4 linked regions of the Canis lupus familiaris genome follow. The protein of the gene in region 1 interacts with the protein of each later gene in a biochemical or structural test. Links are inferred from orthologs where the notes say so. Each region holds a gene or a part of one and is shown in the gene's direction. Other genes may lie near its edges.

Region 1 (4,054 bases):
TCCACAATGTGACCACACCACAGTTTATCTCTTTATTCTGCTGATGGACCTTTGGGTCGTTCCCAGAGTTTGCCTATTGTGAACAAAGCCACTATGAATATTAGCTATTGTGCATGTGACACACACCTAGGAGTGGTGGCTGGGTGATAGGCTTGGCATAGGTTTCACTTAAGAACTGCCATTTTCTGAATCTTTTATTTATTTATTTTTTAAGATTCTATTCATTTATTTGACAGAGAGAGAGCACAAGCAGGGGGAGCAGCAGAGTGAGAGAGAGAAGCAAGCTCTCTGATGAGGAGGGAGCCAGATGCGGGTTTGACCCTAGGACCCTGAGATCATGACCCCAGCCAAAGGCAGACCCTCAACTGACTGAGCCACCCAGACACCCCTGAATCTTTTAATATTTCTTAAAACCAGGAAAAATAAACCTCTACCTGGTGATTGTCTGAGTATTTAGTGGCTTCTAAGGTATAAGACTTTAAGCCTGTACCTGGAACACAGTGGGAGGCTCAGTAATTGCTGGCCTCAGCCCCAAACAGAGGAAGGGCCAGGCAGCTGGCAGGCGCTGTGGGGAGGTACCTGGTCCAGACCCTTGGGCAGAGAAGCCTTTCCCACACAGCACTCAAGACCCACAGCCAGCAGTCTGGGCAGCCCGAACTTGGCGCCCCTGCCCTGCTCTCACCTACCCAGCCTCCTCGCACTGTGATCCTGCTTCCTCAGGCCCAGCATTGGTGTCGCTTCCTGTGCACTTTGCGTATCACTCGATATTTATTGGGCACTAACTTTATGCCAGGCCCTGGGTGCCCCGGTACAAATGCCATAAAGACCCTCCCCCCTCAAATTACTCAGGAGGAGTGATTGCTTGGCGTAGGAAGCATGGGGACCCAGCCGAGCACTGACTCCGAGGTCGGTCAGCCACTTGAGTTCTAGCCAGATTCTGTATTTCCCCTGGAAGTTTGTTCTGGACAAACAAAATAATCTGATCCTCTGCGCCCCAGCAGGAGCCTAGGTCTGCCCGGAGCGCCTGTCCCGCGGGTCCAGGCCCTCGAACCACTGCCAAGCGCCCACCCCCGCGGCCCAGTGGCTCAGGCTGGCCGCCACGCCCCGCCCCCGCCGCCTGGCCAATGGCCTCGCGGTCCCGCCCCTCTCTGCCGCGCCCCCTCCTGCAGGGGAGGGTTCCGGGGTGTCTGCGGAGGTCCGCGGGTAGCCGGGTAGTGGCTACCGAGGTAAGTTAGCCGTCCCGGGCGCGGTCGGTCCCCTGGGCTCTGGGCGCGCCGATGGCTTTCGGAGCGGTGGTCAGCGGAGGCAAGAGCGGAGCGGGACGCGGAGCCCACCGGGGCGCACGGGGGTCCGGGGACGGGACTGGCTGCGCGGGGCTGGGTTAGAGCCGGTCCCGAGGCGCCGCGCTTCGCGGCAGCGCCGGGCGGGGCGGGGGGGCGTGGGTCGTGTGCTCGGGCGGGAGGGGAGGTTGGGGGAGCAGACAGGCGCTGGCTGCTGAGTGCCTCCAGCGCCCCGCAGGCCGGGGGTGACCCTGGGGCGAGGCCTAACCTCCCGGAGCTGCGGCCGCGCCTAGAGGCCGCCGTCCTCCCCCGGGCCTTGACAGTTCTCGGTGGTGACATCTGACCAGAACAGCCTCCCTCCCTCCCTCCGCGGGCCTGGTTCCTTCCAGGAATTGGAGCCAAATCAGTGAGGCCTCGCCTCTCTCCTCCGGGTGGTTATTTCTTTCCGGGACGCACTCAGCGCGTCCGGGGCATTCAAGGTAGGAACTTCTCGCAGCGTCAGTCCGCCCTTCTCTGAGACCGGAAGGAGCTGCTAGGAAAACATTGGGGGAAAAAAAAACACAACCAAAAAACGACGTTCTGTGCACGCTGTGGAGCCTTAAAAACTTCTGGAAGGACAGTCAGCGATCTGAGAACTGCGACTGCCGAACAGGGCAGGTTAGCATGCAGTCAGCCTTGTCTGAATGATTTACATACTATTCCTACAAGAGAAGGGACTACGTCTTTCAGCCTCCCTGGCACACCCCCATCTGAGGACTCCCCTCACCCAGGCAGTGGCCTTGGTCCCTCTGGGGCTGTGAGTCTCACTTGTTGCAGCAGCCCCTATGTTCTGTAAGGTGTATGGTGAACTGCAATGAGACAGCAAGTCCTGGGTTCAAATCCTGTTAGGGCCACTGGTCTGTTTGTACAACCCAGCATCATTTCTCCTCTCCTAAAGGAAAGAAAATTAGAATGTGCCTGCCTATAGTAGATCATGAATAAATATGAACAAATATGGGCTTCCTTCCTTTTTGGTTGGAGCATGTTCTACTTCCATACCCCCCAAACTCTTGTCCTTAGGGCTGCGGCTCAGATGCAGAAGAATGTATCACCTGACTCTATCCTTGTCCCTCCCCACATGCCATGGAAAGAAAGGAGAAAAGCGTCATTTAGCCACCTTAGAGTTCTTTGCTCATCTCCTGAACGCTCAGAGGACCCCTGCCCCATCTTCTTGAACCTCTTGACTTCTGTCATTGACACTTGCCACACCAATAATGTAGCACCTGGTGGCTGACAGAGCAAGGCATGCCACATGAGGCTATGAGGCCAGCAGACAGGACTACTGCCCCATTTCCCATATGGGTGACAGACTGGTGGCCCCAGCTCTGCTCTGCAACATTATCTTCTAGAGTCCCACCCAAGCCACACACCCACATTTTTGCTCCAGTCTGGCTCCTCTTCTGACCCCTTTCTTCCCAGAAAACCCACTTGGACATGTCATAGTGTCTCAGACTTGAGACACTATGATCACCTGATCAAAATGGAGCTTTGGAATCCTCTCTGCACCACAGCTTCTCCACCAGGTTCTCTGGCCTGCCTAAATGGCACCATCCATCTACCTAGTGCCTGAGGAGTTATCCTTGATTCTTCTCTCTCCCTCACTTCCCACATCCAGGACCCACTAGGAATCCAGCCACCTCTCACCATCTCCATGGGCAGCATTCTGGCCATACCCATCCTGTGGCCCCCTGCTTCAGCCTCCCAATTGTCTCCCTGCTTCCATCCTGGCCTCTGTACAATCCAGGTCCTCACAACTACCAGAGAGGTCTTTAACATAAGTCAGATCCTCTCCCTTCTCTGCTCAGAACCCCCAGTGGCTTCCCATTTCACTCCAAGAAACCCCCCAAAGCAAAAATAACAACCCCCAGAGTCCTTTCCTGCAACACTGCACATGAGCCACCACTTTTCAGAACCTCCTTGACCTTGATCCCTTCCCCTCCCCTTAGCTTTCTAAACCTGGACCACCCAGACCTGCTTTCTGTTCTTCAAACATGCCAAGGTCATTTCCACCTTAGGACTTTTAAATTGCTGTGCCCTCCGCCCAAAATGCTGATCTTGCAGCTCAGAATGGCTCAGCTCAAATGTCACCAATTCAGAAAGACTTACCTGACCACCTCTGTTCATGCAGCACGTCCTTCTCCAGGGATTCTGTCTCAAAACCCTGGTTTATTTTCTTCATAACTTGGTTACTATTTGGAATTCTTATTTATGTACGTGTTTACTGATTTGTTATCTGTCCCACCCCAATAGAATATAAATTGGATGATGGCAGAGATCTTGTCCCTCTTATTCCCTGCAGCTCTCCCTGAGGGGGAGGCAGGTAAGGAACTCACAGACAACCCCATCTATAATTGCAAATTGTGGTAAGTCCTACCTAAGCAAGTAGTAGCAATTGCTAGTAATTGAGGCACTTGTAAATGTCAGGCTTATGCAGTTGAGCTACTGTATTGTCAAAACAAGCCCTCTGAGTCATTTTAGGGGTAAAGAGAAGACTGTAGAAAGCCGGTAATTTGCCCTAGATCATACGGTGAGTGGAACTAGCCTCCTATCCTAAGAACATGTATGTGGCAAGCTTTAATGGTGGGCTTGCGGTCATGTTCTGGAAAGGACCTGACCTCTGATCTTTGCTCTTCTGCTAACTAGCAAGCCCCTTAATTTCTTGGTACCTCATTTTCTTGACCTTTAAAGTAGGATGATCCTATTATTATTTTGGGGCTTTTTTCTCTTTTTTCTAG
Region 2 (4,262 bases), on another chromosome or scaffold:
GTATCTCTGCCTCTCTCTGTGTGCCTCTCATGAATAAATAAATAAAATCTTAAAAAAAAAAAAAAAAAAAAAAAAAGGTTCAAAGTTTTGGCCCTGCCGGTGTCCAGGTGATCTAGGAAAATCTCTTACCAGGCTCTGAAACATAGCATGGGCGGAGGGGCAAGGAGCAAGGCCGAGGGGACACAGGGGGGTCTGCTCCTCGCCCCAGGGGACAGGGAAGACATCTTCGAAGACGGCTCAGGAAATCTGTTGGCTCCTCCTGGGCAGGACTCCTGGGGAAGGGGACCTCAGAGAATGACTGCAGAGGCCCCTTGCAAGCAGTCCCTTCTTCCTCCCACTGAGGGCCTGTCACTGCAACCCCAGGGACAAGGATAAAGGGCCAGATATAAAAGAGGGGAACGCAGACAGAGACCAGGTACAAAAGTTAGAGAGGGCCCCACCCCAAATGCAGGCCCCAGCGGAAAGAAGGCAGCTCCTCTTACCTGGGTGGGGTAGGGCTGGGGAACCCAGCAGCCTCACCTCGCCTAAAGAAGGCAGCTAGGACTCTCAGCGTGTCCTCCCGGAGCCCCAGCTCTTCTGAGCCTGCCATGGGGGCACCTGTGAAAAAGGGAGCTGGGGGATGGGCTCCAGGGTTGAACTGAAGTGGAGGATTGGTGCCCAAATGCCTAGTCCCTGAATAAGGAGGGCGCCAGGACCCACGAATTCCCGAAGGAAGAAGGGGGTGAGAGTCTCAACTCCTAAATCCTTTAGGGGAGTTAGGGTCTGGGGACCCAGACTCTTGAGTTCTCAGAGGGAGAAGAGCGATGAGGCCGAAGACTCCTTGATCCTTGGAGAGGAAGAGGCTTAGGGACCCGGGTTCCTGGGGTCAAAAGACTGGGGGCTGGACTCTGAAGATTTTTTGGAGAAGGGGGCTGGAGGATCTGAATTGTTGAGTCTGAGAAAGAACGGAACTTGGGGCAACGACTTCTGGTTTCTGGAGGCATAACGCCAAGCCGCTCATGCTCTTAGAGAATCAGGAACTACGAATCCCAGCAGGCTTCATGGCAAACCTTCCCCTCGGTCCGCACTTGTGCGCCGCGCAGCCTCCTTGGGAAGTGTAGTTCCATTATCTGACCCACGCTGGAATCTTGGGGACCCGGGGTGCATAGATGTCCAGGAAGCGGGACTGAGGTGCCCGCTCCTAGACCCGTCCTTTTCCCTTCTCGCCCCAGCCTGCACAAAAGCCCAGCTTACCTGGGGCCGGGAAGCCGCCGACCCCCTCTCCTTCACCGAACTTGAGCAAACTTTTATTAGTGCAACTTTCCCGCGCCTGCGCACTGGGCCGGGTTGGTGTCAGCCCCGTAGTGGGAGGGGCGGAGCGCTGGATACCCATCTGATTTGCATGTGGCGTTCCCAGCATGCCTTTGGCCGGAAGACCTATAAAGGGCATAGCGGGGGGGGAGGGGAGAACCGGGGGCGTCCGGGTTCTTGGTGCCGCCTCTTTGGCTCTGGAGTCTTGTCAACCAATCGCAGATAAAGTTGTTTTTGTTTTATGAAATCGATAGAAAAGAAAACCCTCTTTCTCTGAAGCTCAGCTGACGGGAAGTAGGGTGTGCAGCTGCAAGTTCGAGAGTTATCGGACCCCAAAGGCAGGGGCGGGTTCTAGCACCCTGAGCGCCCCGACCCTCTACGTAGGTAACTGGGAAGATCTGGGGAATTGGTGGCGCCCGGGGCGAGAAACGCGAGACGTGCTGGGTCTGCCCTGAGTCTAGAGGAGCAAGGTGTACTCTAGGGAAGGTGAAGCAGAGTTCGAGTAAAAGTGAAGCTATGGCCGCTGCCGGAGGTCGGCTGTGAAATAAAAAGTAGTAGCGGGGGCGGGGGGGAGGCGTCTGCATGGGGGGATCTAAGGCAGAGAAGAGCAGACTCTGAAAATGGGAGGCAGTCCACTCTATAGAGTATGTGTGGGGGGGGGGTGCCCTAGAGGAAGGAAGCTGTTTGGGGGGAAGGATGGTGGATGGAGGGTCCACCGTGGAAATGGGTGAGGGGCTCTTCTGTAGGAGTCCGCAACACAGATAAGTGCGGGAGGTAGAGATCTACAAGGTAATAACGTCTGCCCTGAAATAACCAGGGGAGTCTCTACCTTGGACGCGGAGGTGACTGCCTTAGGTGATGTGGGGGAGGGGAGGGGAGGAGAGGGTTTACAACGGAAGAGGGAAGAATCTACCCTGGCTGAGTTGGGGAGGTAGAGGATCTGCTCAGGAGGAGGTGGGGAAAGACGGGCCGTCTCAAATGGATTGGGCGGGAAGTCCTCGTTGACTTGGGGGACTGTCTGGAGGTGAAAAGAGGAGTTGTCTTGTTTTATACCCCAGGAAAATATAAGTGAGGGACGCTGCACCGCCGCCCCATGAGAGGAAGGTCTGGGAGCGGAACCCTCGGGGGTGGGGGCGGGTAGCTAAGAGGCCATCCGCGCCCACGAACTGCCCTCTAAGCGCAGGCCGGACCATGGGAACCCCAAAACCGCGGATCCTGCCCTGGCTGGTGTCACAGCTGGACCTAGGGCAGCTGGAGGGGGTGGCCTGGCTGGACGAGCGCCGCACGCGCTTTCGCATCCCTTGGAAGCATGGCTTGCGGCAGGATGCCCAGCAGGAGGACTTCGGCATCTTCCAGGTGCGAGAGCTTCGTGCCGCCGGGGAGCCCTGAGCTAACCTACCCGAGGGGTGGACTCCCAGGGGGCGGAGCCGAGAGGGAGGGGTTAGCCTGCGTAGGGTCGGCCGGCGCTGACGGTGGCAGGTGGAGGTGAGTGGAGTTAGGACAGGACTGGGCAGGGTTAGGAGGATCAGCGGACGGATGTCGCAAGGCGGGCACGGCTGGAACGGCCAGGTTCCGGAAAAAGAACCGGAAAAGCGGGGTTAGAACTCGAGAGAAATGCAAACTGGGGATTGAGGGCTCGCAGAGGGCGGGGCTTTGGGTCGTAGAATTCTGAGGGCTGGTTTTGGAACCTTCGAGGCGAGACCTGGCCCCAAAGCTGAGGTGATTTCCCACCAAATTCGGATACACCAGTGGTGGTAACCCGAGTTCGAGTACGAGGGGGCGGGGCCATTACAACCTGTCCTGGGGCAGGTTGCTGGCAGAGTTAGACGCCCAGTAGGACCTGGAAGGTTGGCTTAGAAAGCAAAGTTTTTGAATAGGTGAAGCGGGGGGGTGGGGGGGGGTGGGGGTGGGAGGGTGCTTACGATGCAGAGTCCAAGAGTTTGGGGATGGATCCTTGTCAAGTTAGAACGTGCCAGGGGAGAGCGCCCTTGGGCCGGGGTCTTAGTCATCCTCACCATCCTGGTACCAACTGGATCCCCAGGCGTGGGCCGAGGTCAGCGGTGCCTACACTCCTGGAAAGGATAAACCTGATCTGCCCACCTGGAAGAGGAATTTCCGATCTGCCCTGAACCGGAAGGAGGAGTTGCGTGTAGCTGAAGATCGGAGCAAAGACCCCCACGACCCACACAAGGTCTATGAGTTTGTGATCTCAGGTGTGCCAGAAGTGGGGCTCCATGTGGAGGGATGGGATTTTGAGCATCCCCAACACTCTGCTCCACTCACCACCTTCCCTGGCAGGAGCTGGGAACTTGCCTGAGTTGGACACCTTTCCAGACACCAATGGCAGATACAGTACCTCGGATACCCAGGCAAGAATGCACCCCATCCTTCCTGCCCTCAGGATGACCCATCTTCTGTGTCCCCACAGCCTTGTTCAGGCTTCCTCTCCTCCCCCTGGACCATCACATCAAATCTTCCTCCTGAGCCTCCATCCTATCCCCTGTGGGCTGTCCACCCACTCATCTAGAGATGACCCTGTCCCTCTCCTGCTCATAGCGAGCCCTTCCATGGATGCTTCCAGTGTCTCAGGAAAAAAATGCAGAGCTTTCACCAAGGCATTTAGGGCCCTAATACACCTTTCTAGAATTTCACAGTTTCTCTTGCTATGTAGAGTACCCTCAGCCTCCTGGGAACCCAGAACCACCCTATCCTTGGTCTTGCTGACGTCCATGCCAGGGCAGGTCCCCTCTGAAATAGTGTCCAGCCTTCTCTGCCCAGGTCTTGCTTGCCCAGGGCCAGGTCCTTGGGCTGGAACTAGCTGTTCCCCTTGGGCCAATAGTAGCATCCATCATATACCAGAGCATATATTTTGTCATCTGTGCCCATGCTTGTCTACCTACCTCCTATCCCCCACCTCCCTGCCAGCCCCAACTGGAAGCCCCCGCCCCCTTTTTAAAAGATTTTATTTATTC
Region 3 (4,020 bases), on another chromosome or scaffold:
AGACACACATTCGCCCTGCTAGAATTTACACGCCCTGAGGTCGAGGATGTAAGGAACACTGGTATGGGAGGACTGTTACCTAGTTCTGCTCCTTGGGCCACAGTGAGGTCACTGACTGTAGAGAAGGCCCAAGCTCGGGCCTGCCCAAGTCCCGGGGGTCCTACCCAGGAGGAAGACCCCACTTCTGCGGGACACACTACAGGACGGAAGGGGCGGGCCTAACCCCATTCCGCCGCGGGTCGCTCAGGAGGGCGGGCCTTGCCCCCTCGGCACCTACTCACGAAGGGGTGGAGCTAGTTCGCTTTTCAGGTTTAAAACGGGGCCGGGGTCAACTCTGTCATCCTGTGTCAACGTTAGAAAGGTGTGGGCCTTGAGATCTGTTCTGCAAGTCACCTAAGGAGGAGCGGGCTGCGTCCCGCAGCCGAGGGAGATGGGTTAACACCAGCGCCGCAGGTCGATGCTCGCACCACCCACACGTCGAGCTGATGCCAGTTCTGCTCCCTTCTTCACTGAAAGGGAGGGGCGAGCCCCAGTTCTGCCCTCTACGTCACCGAAGGAGGCCGGAGCCATTTTGAGCCCTGCGACCATAGCATTTGCTACCTCGCCGAGCTCTCGGCCGTCTTTTCCGATCTCGGCCAATCAGGGCTGCAAGAAACTAGCCAATCAGCCCGGAGAGACCGCAGTCGGAGGGCCCGGATGAGGCGGCGCTGATGCCTTTGAACCCCAAAGCCCGCCAATCGTAGAGCAGTCACCACGGCGACAAGAGCGCGGCGAGGGGGTGGGGCCAGAGAAAGCCGAGCACTCTCGGCCTGGCCCGCCCCTTCCCGCCGCCTGCTGCGCGCGCGCACTTTGCCGAACCACCATCTTCCGTCGAGTTCCAGCCAATCCAGAGCTTCGGAGCTCTACGCTCCAAAGTCCAATAGGAATCCGGACGTTCTCGGAAAGGGGAAGTGAAGCAAAGAAAGGGCTCGGAGGAGGCGGGGCCTGTGTGGTCCCGGACCAATTGCTTCTGGCCCTTGGCCCTGACTGGCAGCTACTCAGACGAATCAAGCTCCCCGACCAGGTCCAACGGACACCAATTCTGTCGCATGGCGTCCTGACGGAGACGCGCCCGCCAATCGTCGCTGGCAAGGGCAGGCCTGCGCAGACCTCTCCCTACCCTTTGGGCCAATCCTGGCTTTTAAACTGTGTGATTGTCAGCCACCCAGACCAGTAGTGTTTAGACAACCTCGAAGCCCGCCCAACGGTCGTGGGCTGGAGGCGGTTTCTCGCTGTTGGGGCGTGTGTGTGTCTGTGTGTGTGTTTGGGGAGACCGAGGGGTACGTGAAGGCGAAACACCGGCCATGGCAGCCGCGGAGGAGGAGGACGGGGGCCCCGAAGGGCCAAACCGCGAGCGGGGCGGGGCGGGCGCGACCTTCGAATGTAATATATGCTTGGAGACTGCTCGGGAGGCTGTGGTCAGCGTGTGTGGCCACCTGTACTGGTGAGGGTCCGGCCGGGGCTGAAGAGAAATGGGGCTCGCCCCTTACTGGGGAGGCTGGGGGCGGGATGGCACGCATACGGATAGTCGGCGGGCACATCCCCGTGGGCGAGGCCCGAGGTCTCTGGGAATGTGTGGGTGAGAGGGTCACATCTCCACGGAGGAGAGCCGTGTGGCGGAGAGCCCTAGGAACTGGGCGCTGAGGGGTGTGCTGTGGTTAAGAGGCAGCAGGGCGGGGTGGTGGTGGGGGAACTACATCTGTCCAGGTGAGACCCCAGCCGCCTTACCCCGGAAAGTGACGGTCTTAGTTGTACAGGTGGAGATAGATTAGACTCCAAGGTTAGAGGAGGCACGCCTTAGTCGGGTACGGGAGACCGAGGGAATGTAGGATCGCATGCAGATGAGATCTTGGTAGGGAGTGGTATGACAGACCTGAGGACCAGGGCACTGAGAAATGAAAGGATGGTGGAAATAGGGACTTGATGGAGCCTAGAAGAGAGGAAAAGGAGTAGTGGGGGCAGGTGCTAGTAAAGGGGGTTTGGTTGAGGAGTGATGCGGGCAGGGCTGGGGTTGGGGCTGAAACAGGAGATCTAGAAAGCTCTGGTTGAAGAGACCTGGACACTAAGTTCAGAGGCAGAAAAGGGAGGGGACATGTGTGTTCAAGGAGAGAAGAGCGTTGAACCTCGGAGGATGAATATTACTTTAGACGTTGTAAGATCAGAGAGGTGGGAAGGCCAAATTGGCTGGCATGGAATAGGTTGTCAAAAACATGAAAAGAAACAGCAGGTAATACCTGGGAAGAGGGGTGCGATCGGACTCTGAGGTCAGGTTCGTGTCTGTCTTTACTGTAGCTAGTTTGACCTTCTTTTTTTCCCCCCATCTAGTTGGCCCTGTCTTCATCAGGTGCGTACTCAGAGGAGATGAAGAGGGAAATGGGGAGGTCTGAGGAGTTGAAAAACCCTACTGTGAACTGGAAACCACTTCATTTTCTCCCTCAGTGGTTGGAGACCCGGCCAGAGCGGCAAGAGTGCCCAGTGTGTAAAGCTGGGATCAGCAGAGAAAAGGTTGTCCCTCTTTATGGGCGAGGGAGCCAGAAGCCCCAGGATCCCAGGTGAGAGAGAGGGGGTGGTGCTGAGGGAAGATGGACTGCTTCTGGCCTGGGAGTGGGGCGTGGAGGGGGAGAGGACATTCCTTGCTGCTAGCCCTAGCCAGTCTCTCATTCCTCAGATTGAAAACTCCACCCCGCCCCCAGGGCCAGCGACCAGCTTCAGAGAGCAGAGGGGTGAGTCTTGTCTGATTTGTGTTCCTTCCTTGCCAAAGACCTGCCCAGTTCTCCTCTGACTTTCTCCACCTCCCTAGGGATTCCAGTCATTTGGTGATACCGGGGGCTTTCACTTCTCATTTGGTGTTGGTGCTTTTCCCTTTGGCTTTTTCACCACCGTCTTCAACACCCATGAGCCATTCCGTCGGGGTACAGGTAAGAAGAGCCTTCCCTCAGCTCCAAGCAGGGAGCCCTCTGAGTCCCCTCAGGCCTTTTCCCAACCTAGGAGTGGATGCTTCTCCCACAGCTTTCCTTTCTCCTACAGGTGTGGATCTGGGACAGGGTCACCCGGCCTCCAGCTGGCAGGACTCCCTCTTCCTGTTTCTCGCCATCTTCTTCTTTTTCTGGCTGCTCAGTATTTGAGCTTTGTCTCCTTCCTGCCCACCTCCAGCCAGAGGAGAATCAGTATTGGGGGTCCTTGCTGACCCTTCCTTACTCCTGGCCCCTCCCTCCCAACCCCTCCGTTTCTACTGGCTAAGGCCAACCCTGGCCACTTTGTAGGAGGGTGTGGGGAGGAGGTGTGACATCTGTGCAGAGGATGGGAGAAACTTCTGCCCTGAACTCGCTGCGTAGCATCCTAACTCCCAGCTCTGGGACAGGAGGACAGACGGAAGAGGATGTCTGTTTCTTCCCTCTCCTGATCTTTTGCTTTCCCCCACATTTGTTGATTTGATGTTGAAAGATGGGCAAGGCTCCCACTGACTCTCCCCTACTTTACCCCTGTTGACTTAATTTTTCTCTCCCCAGTGTCTAATATGGGTTCTGATTCTTAAGTCCTTCCTTCCCTTCACTACCTCCTTTATTATAAATTCAATAAACAAGGTGAGATGTACTGATGGGAGCTCTGCCCACCTTTGTCCTTACCCCCTTCCTTCCAGGACAGGAGCATCTCCCCAACTTGAGTAAATATTTGCACGGTGTGGGGAAGTGTGAAGGCTTTCTTCAAGGCTCTGAGGGATTCAGAGGGTGAGGGCGTCTCTCTCTCTCTCTCTCTCTCACAAACACACACACACAAACACACACAGAGGCATCTTTCTCACACACACACACACAGGCGTCTCTCACACACACACGTGTCTCACACACAGTCATCTCATACACGTGTCTCACACAGGTGTCACACACAGGCATCTCTTTCTCAAACACAGGTGTCTCTCACACACAGGTCTCACACACAGTCATCTCTTACACACAGGTGTCTCTCACAGTCATCTCTCAC
Region 4 (3,614 bases), about 6.2 Mb from region 1:
AGTTCACTTAGAAAACCATCTGGATTAATTTTTTTAGGTATATAGCTACTCACTTTGTATATTTCTTTTTTATTTTTATTTTTTAAAGATTTTATTTACTTATTCATGAGAGACACAGAGAGAGGCAGAGACATAGGCAGAGGGAGAAGCAGGCTCCCTGTGGGAAGCCCGATGCAGGACTCGATCCCAGGACCCCAGGATCCGGACCTGAGCAGAAGGCAGACACTCAACCACTGAGTTACCCACATGCCCTGATCATCTGTTTTATTTTTTTAAATTTTTTTGATCATCTGTTTTAATAGGTGAATGTAAAATCTTTTTTACCTCTGATTTTGTATCATTTACCATTCTTTTAACTACTTTTTTTCTCCTTTCCTGCTTTGGCCATTACACTTTCCATTCTTTAGTGATCCCTCATAAGTGTCTGAAATACACACTTTGGTTTACAAAGCTGGGCAATTATCAGTATCTTTATCTTTCTCCCCTCAAATCAGGCATCTTAGAACACTTGAACTGATTGCCCTCTCCAGTCTTACCAGTTGTGTCCTTTCTTGTTTTGTACTCCACAGATTAACCGTCACTGTTCATGTTCCACTGTGTTTTAGATCTACTCACATGTTTGCCAGTTGAGTTGCTCACCATTTTTCTATCTTCTCTTTGGAGTTCTGCAAATTCATTACAAAGTGCCAAAATGCTACTTTTATTTATCCCGCTTTGGATTTTATGTGAGAATCCTGGTCTTTAATGAAGTTTGTAAGCTCTTCTTCAGGTACTGCCTCTCCCATTTTTTTTCTCTCCTTCTGGAATTCTGATTGGGCCTGTGATAGGACTGAAGTGAGAAGACTCACTTCCTCTTTTACATTGCCCATCACCTAGTTTCTCTGGTGAGTTGCTTCTGATCTATTTTCCAGTTCAGTGGCTTATCTTCTATATCTAATCTACTTTTTTGTCTCATCCTTTGAGACCTGAATTTCAATAGTTTTTCTAATTCTAGAAATTCCTTCTAAAACCTGTGTTCCTTTTTAGTGTCTTGCTCTTTCATGTTTTAATCCCCTCACCCTAGCTTTTTTTTCTCTAATCATGAGCTCCACGAAGGCGAGAAGGTCTTTGGGTTCACTGTTGTCACCCCCGGTGCCTCGCACCGTTGCTGGAACAGAACAGACTCCGAGTGTCCTATGGGATGACTTGGCACCAGTGGGAACGGAAAGATGCCGATCTGGGGACTGGCTCTGGCTCCCGCTCGCTCTCGGGCTCTCGGGCTGCGGGAGCCGAGAGGTGGCTCAACCCCGGCTTCGGGGAGAGGGGGCGGCAGCCCATGACATCACCGGACTGTGACGTGCCCAGGAAGCCCCGCCCCTTCGCGGCCCAGACCGGGAATCCAGCTCTGTCCCGTGACGTCACGGGTCCGGGCGGGAGGGTTTTGCGTCGGCCCAATGGGAGTGGCGCGCCGGCCTCCCCTTTAAGGAATGTTGTGACCTGACGTCACCCGGGCGAGTTACCTCCCCGAGCCACCGCCGCCAGGCTCAGCTCGAGCCCCGGAGCCCTTGAGCGCGAGGCGCGGAGCCCCCGAACCTCCGCCAAAGCCCCCAGCCGCGCGCCCCGGAGCCCCGGCCTGCGCGCCCCGCCGGGCCCGCGCGATGCCCTCGGACCGGCCTTTCAAGCAGCGGCGGACCTTCGGTGAGGCCCGGCGGGCGGCCAGCGGGCGCGGGGAGGGGGCCCCGCGAGACTGACCCTCACTGCCGCAGGCGACGTCAGCCCCGTGACGTCAGACTCGGGCTGGACCCCTGGGCCGTGAGGCAGGTTCAGGCCTGGGCCGGGACCTCGCCTCCCAGCCGGCGGGTGCCAGGCCCTAGGGCCTGATGGCCCTGGGGGCGGGGGTTGGGGGGCGGGGCCGGGGACAGGCGGGGCGAAGGGCGAGCGGGACCGCGGCCTTACTGCCCGCCCTCTGTCCGCAGCCGACCGCTGTAAGGAGGTGCAGCAGATCCGCGACCAGCACCCCAGCAAGATCCCGGTGAGTCCCGCCACCCCCCATCCCCGCGGCCCCAGGCCCCGCCGGGCTCACGCATCCCCCGCCCCACCCCTAGGTGATCATCGAGCGCTACAAGGGTGAGAAACAGCTGCCTGTCCTGGACAAGACCAAGTTCCTGGTCCCAGACCATGTCAACATGAGCGAGTTGGTCAAGATTATCCGGTGTGTGGGCAGCAGCAGTCAGAAGGGGCTTGGGTCCTTCTGGGGGAGGGCGAGGCCCCAGCAGGCCGGGCCTGGCCTTAAATCTCTGTTCTGGAGAGGTTGGGATAGTCAAGGTCAGGGCTGGGATCAGTGTCAGGTCAGAGGTGAGGGCTCCTAGAAGGGGCTGGGATGGGTGTGAAGCCACCTCAATCCTTTGGGGGGAAGGGGGGTGTAGGGCTCCACCCACCCAGGAGCCAGGTCCCCTCATACTGGCTTGCTCTTCTGCCCACCCCAGGCGCCGCCTGCAGCTGAACCCCACGCAGGCCTTCTTCCTGCTGGTGAACCAGCACAGCATGGTGAGCGTGTCCACACCCATCGCGGACATCTATGAGCAGGAGAAGGATGATGATGGCTTCCTCTACATGGTCTACGCCTCCCAGGAAACCTTCGGCTTCTGAGCCAGCAGTAGGGGGGGTGGTTGGCCTGGGAGTGGGGGGGTGCCCTGTCAGGCTCTGCCCAGGGAACTCCTGGCTCCTGAACTGAACTGCTCTGCCCGGGCTGGGCTGGGCAGGGATGCTGGCCCCCTAGCCAGGGGGCACCAACTGCACCTACTCTGCCCCTGGGTGGATCCTGGGCCAGTCATTGTTAGGGATGCCCTCCTGGGTGCTGGCTGGGATGGGGGAGGGTGGGGAACAGCCCCCAGCACTCTTGCTCGTGTGATTTATCTTTTTTTTAGGCCCCTGCCCATCTGCCCCTCCCTCACCTGAGGCGCTGCCCCCCTGCCTGGACCTGCCCACCCCTGAAGGACTGGCCCTTGGCTCACCTGATCTTGACATGGTGTATGGATCTGTGGTCATTGTTCCTCTGCAGAATAAAGATTGCTCAGGCCTGCCTGGCCCTTTGCTTCCAGCTGCTTGGGGAATGGGTAGGGCTTCGGGTGGCACTGTCTCATACTAGTTTCAGCTCACTAGGAACAGCTTTGTGTGCTGTGGACTTGGGGCTCATTCTGGAAACTCGCACCAGTGTGTGGTATACCGTGGTGATATAAGGGGCCAAGCCCACCCTTTCCAGGAGTTCAGTGTGGGCCCAGGATAGATTTCATAACAAAAAAGATTTATTAAGTAGCCACAACCTAACAAATCCTGCTCACCTGCTTCTTCCCCTTTCCAGCATGGAGGGGGTTCCCTGGTATGCAGAGCCAAAAAGTGGGGGTCCAAGTGGAGTTGCTCCTGGCTATTCCCCACAGGCCTTGCTGCCAGCCATGGCTCCCCTCTGGTGCCAGAGATTTGTAACCCTGGACTCGAACCTCATTTGCCTGAGGACTCCTCTGCTGGGAACTCTGGCTAGAGGGCTGGGCCCAGCCTCTGGCCCTTTGACCCCCTGAAGTCCATGCAGCCCTGTGCCCAGCCAGGCCTACTTGAGCACAAGCATGGCCTCTGTGCCG

The links.
Region 2: the proteins of MAVS (region 1) and IRF3 form a complex in vitro, tested with the Homo sapiens proteins (2 studies listed by BioGRID). The link is inferred for Canis lupus familiaris from reciprocal best matches to the Homo sapiens genes MAVS and IRF3.
Region 3: the proteins of MAVS (region 1) and RNF5 form a complex in vitro, tested with the Homo sapiens proteins (2 studies listed by BioGRID, with this or other methods). The link is inferred for Canis lupus familiaris from reciprocal best matches to the Homo sapiens genes MAVS and RNF5.
Region 4: the proteins of MAVS (region 1) and MAP1LC3A form a complex in vitro, tested with the Homo sapiens proteins (2 studies listed by BioGRID and IntAct, with this or other methods). The link is inferred for Canis lupus familiaris from reciprocal best matches to the Homo sapiens genes MAVS and MAP1LC3A.

Annotation. Positions count from the first base shown.
Region 1 is NC_049245.1:17,973,550-17,977,603, reverse strand, and holds the start of MAVS (mitochondrial antiviral-signaling protein), read left to right. Parts: upstream 1-1,207; 5' UTR 1,208-1,226; intron 1,227-4,054.
Region 2 is NC_049222.1:107,548,686-107,552,947, forward strand, and holds the start of IRF3 (interferon regulatory factor 3), read left to right. Parts: upstream 1-1,437; 5' UTR 1,438-1,674; intron 1,675-2,468; 5' UTR 2,469-2,481; coding exon 2,482-2,646; intron 2,647-3,331; coding exon 3,332-3,503; intron 3,504-3,588; coding exon 3,589-3,659; intron 3,660-4,262. Other genes in the region: BCL2L12 (bcl-2-like protein 12), read right to left, coding at 130-272, 483-597, 1,234-1,372.
Region 3 is NC_049233.1:1,703,277-1,707,296, forward strand, and holds RNF5 (E3 ubiquitin-protein ligase RNF5), read left to right. Parts: upstream 1-1,178; 5' UTR 1,179-1,343; coding exon 1,344-1,483; intron 1,484-2,364; coding exon 2,365-2,383; intron 2,384-2,478; coding exon 2,479-2,591; intron 2,592-2,707; coding exon 2,708-2,762; intron 2,763-2,839; coding exon 2,840-2,957; intron 2,958-3,066; coding exon 3,067-3,164; 3' UTR 3,165-3,633; downstream 3,634-4,020. UniProt on the Homo sapiens protein: Membrane-bound E3 ubiquitin-protein ligase that mediates ubiquitination of target proteins. May function together with E2 ubiquitin-conjugating enzymes UBE2D1/UBCH5A and UBE2D2/UBC4.
Region 4 is NC_049245.1:24,182,747-24,186,360, forward strand, and holds MAP1LC3A (microtubule-associated proteins 1A/1B light chain 3A), read left to right. Parts: upstream 1-1,482; 5' UTR 1,483-1,637; coding exon 1,638-1,677; intron 1,678-1,955; coding exon 1,956-2,011; intron 2,012-2,084; coding exon 2,085-2,191; intron 2,192-2,465; coding exon 2,466-2,628; 3' UTR 2,629-3,067; downstream 3,068-3,614. Other genes in the region: PIGU (phosphatidylinositol glycan anchor biosynthesis class U protein), read right to left, coding at 3,584-3,614. UniProt on the Homo sapiens protein: Ubiquitin-like modifier involved in formation of autophagosomal vacuoles (autophagosomes). While LC3s are involved in elongation of the phagophore membrane, the GABARAP/GATE-16 subfamily is essential for a later stage in autophagosome maturation.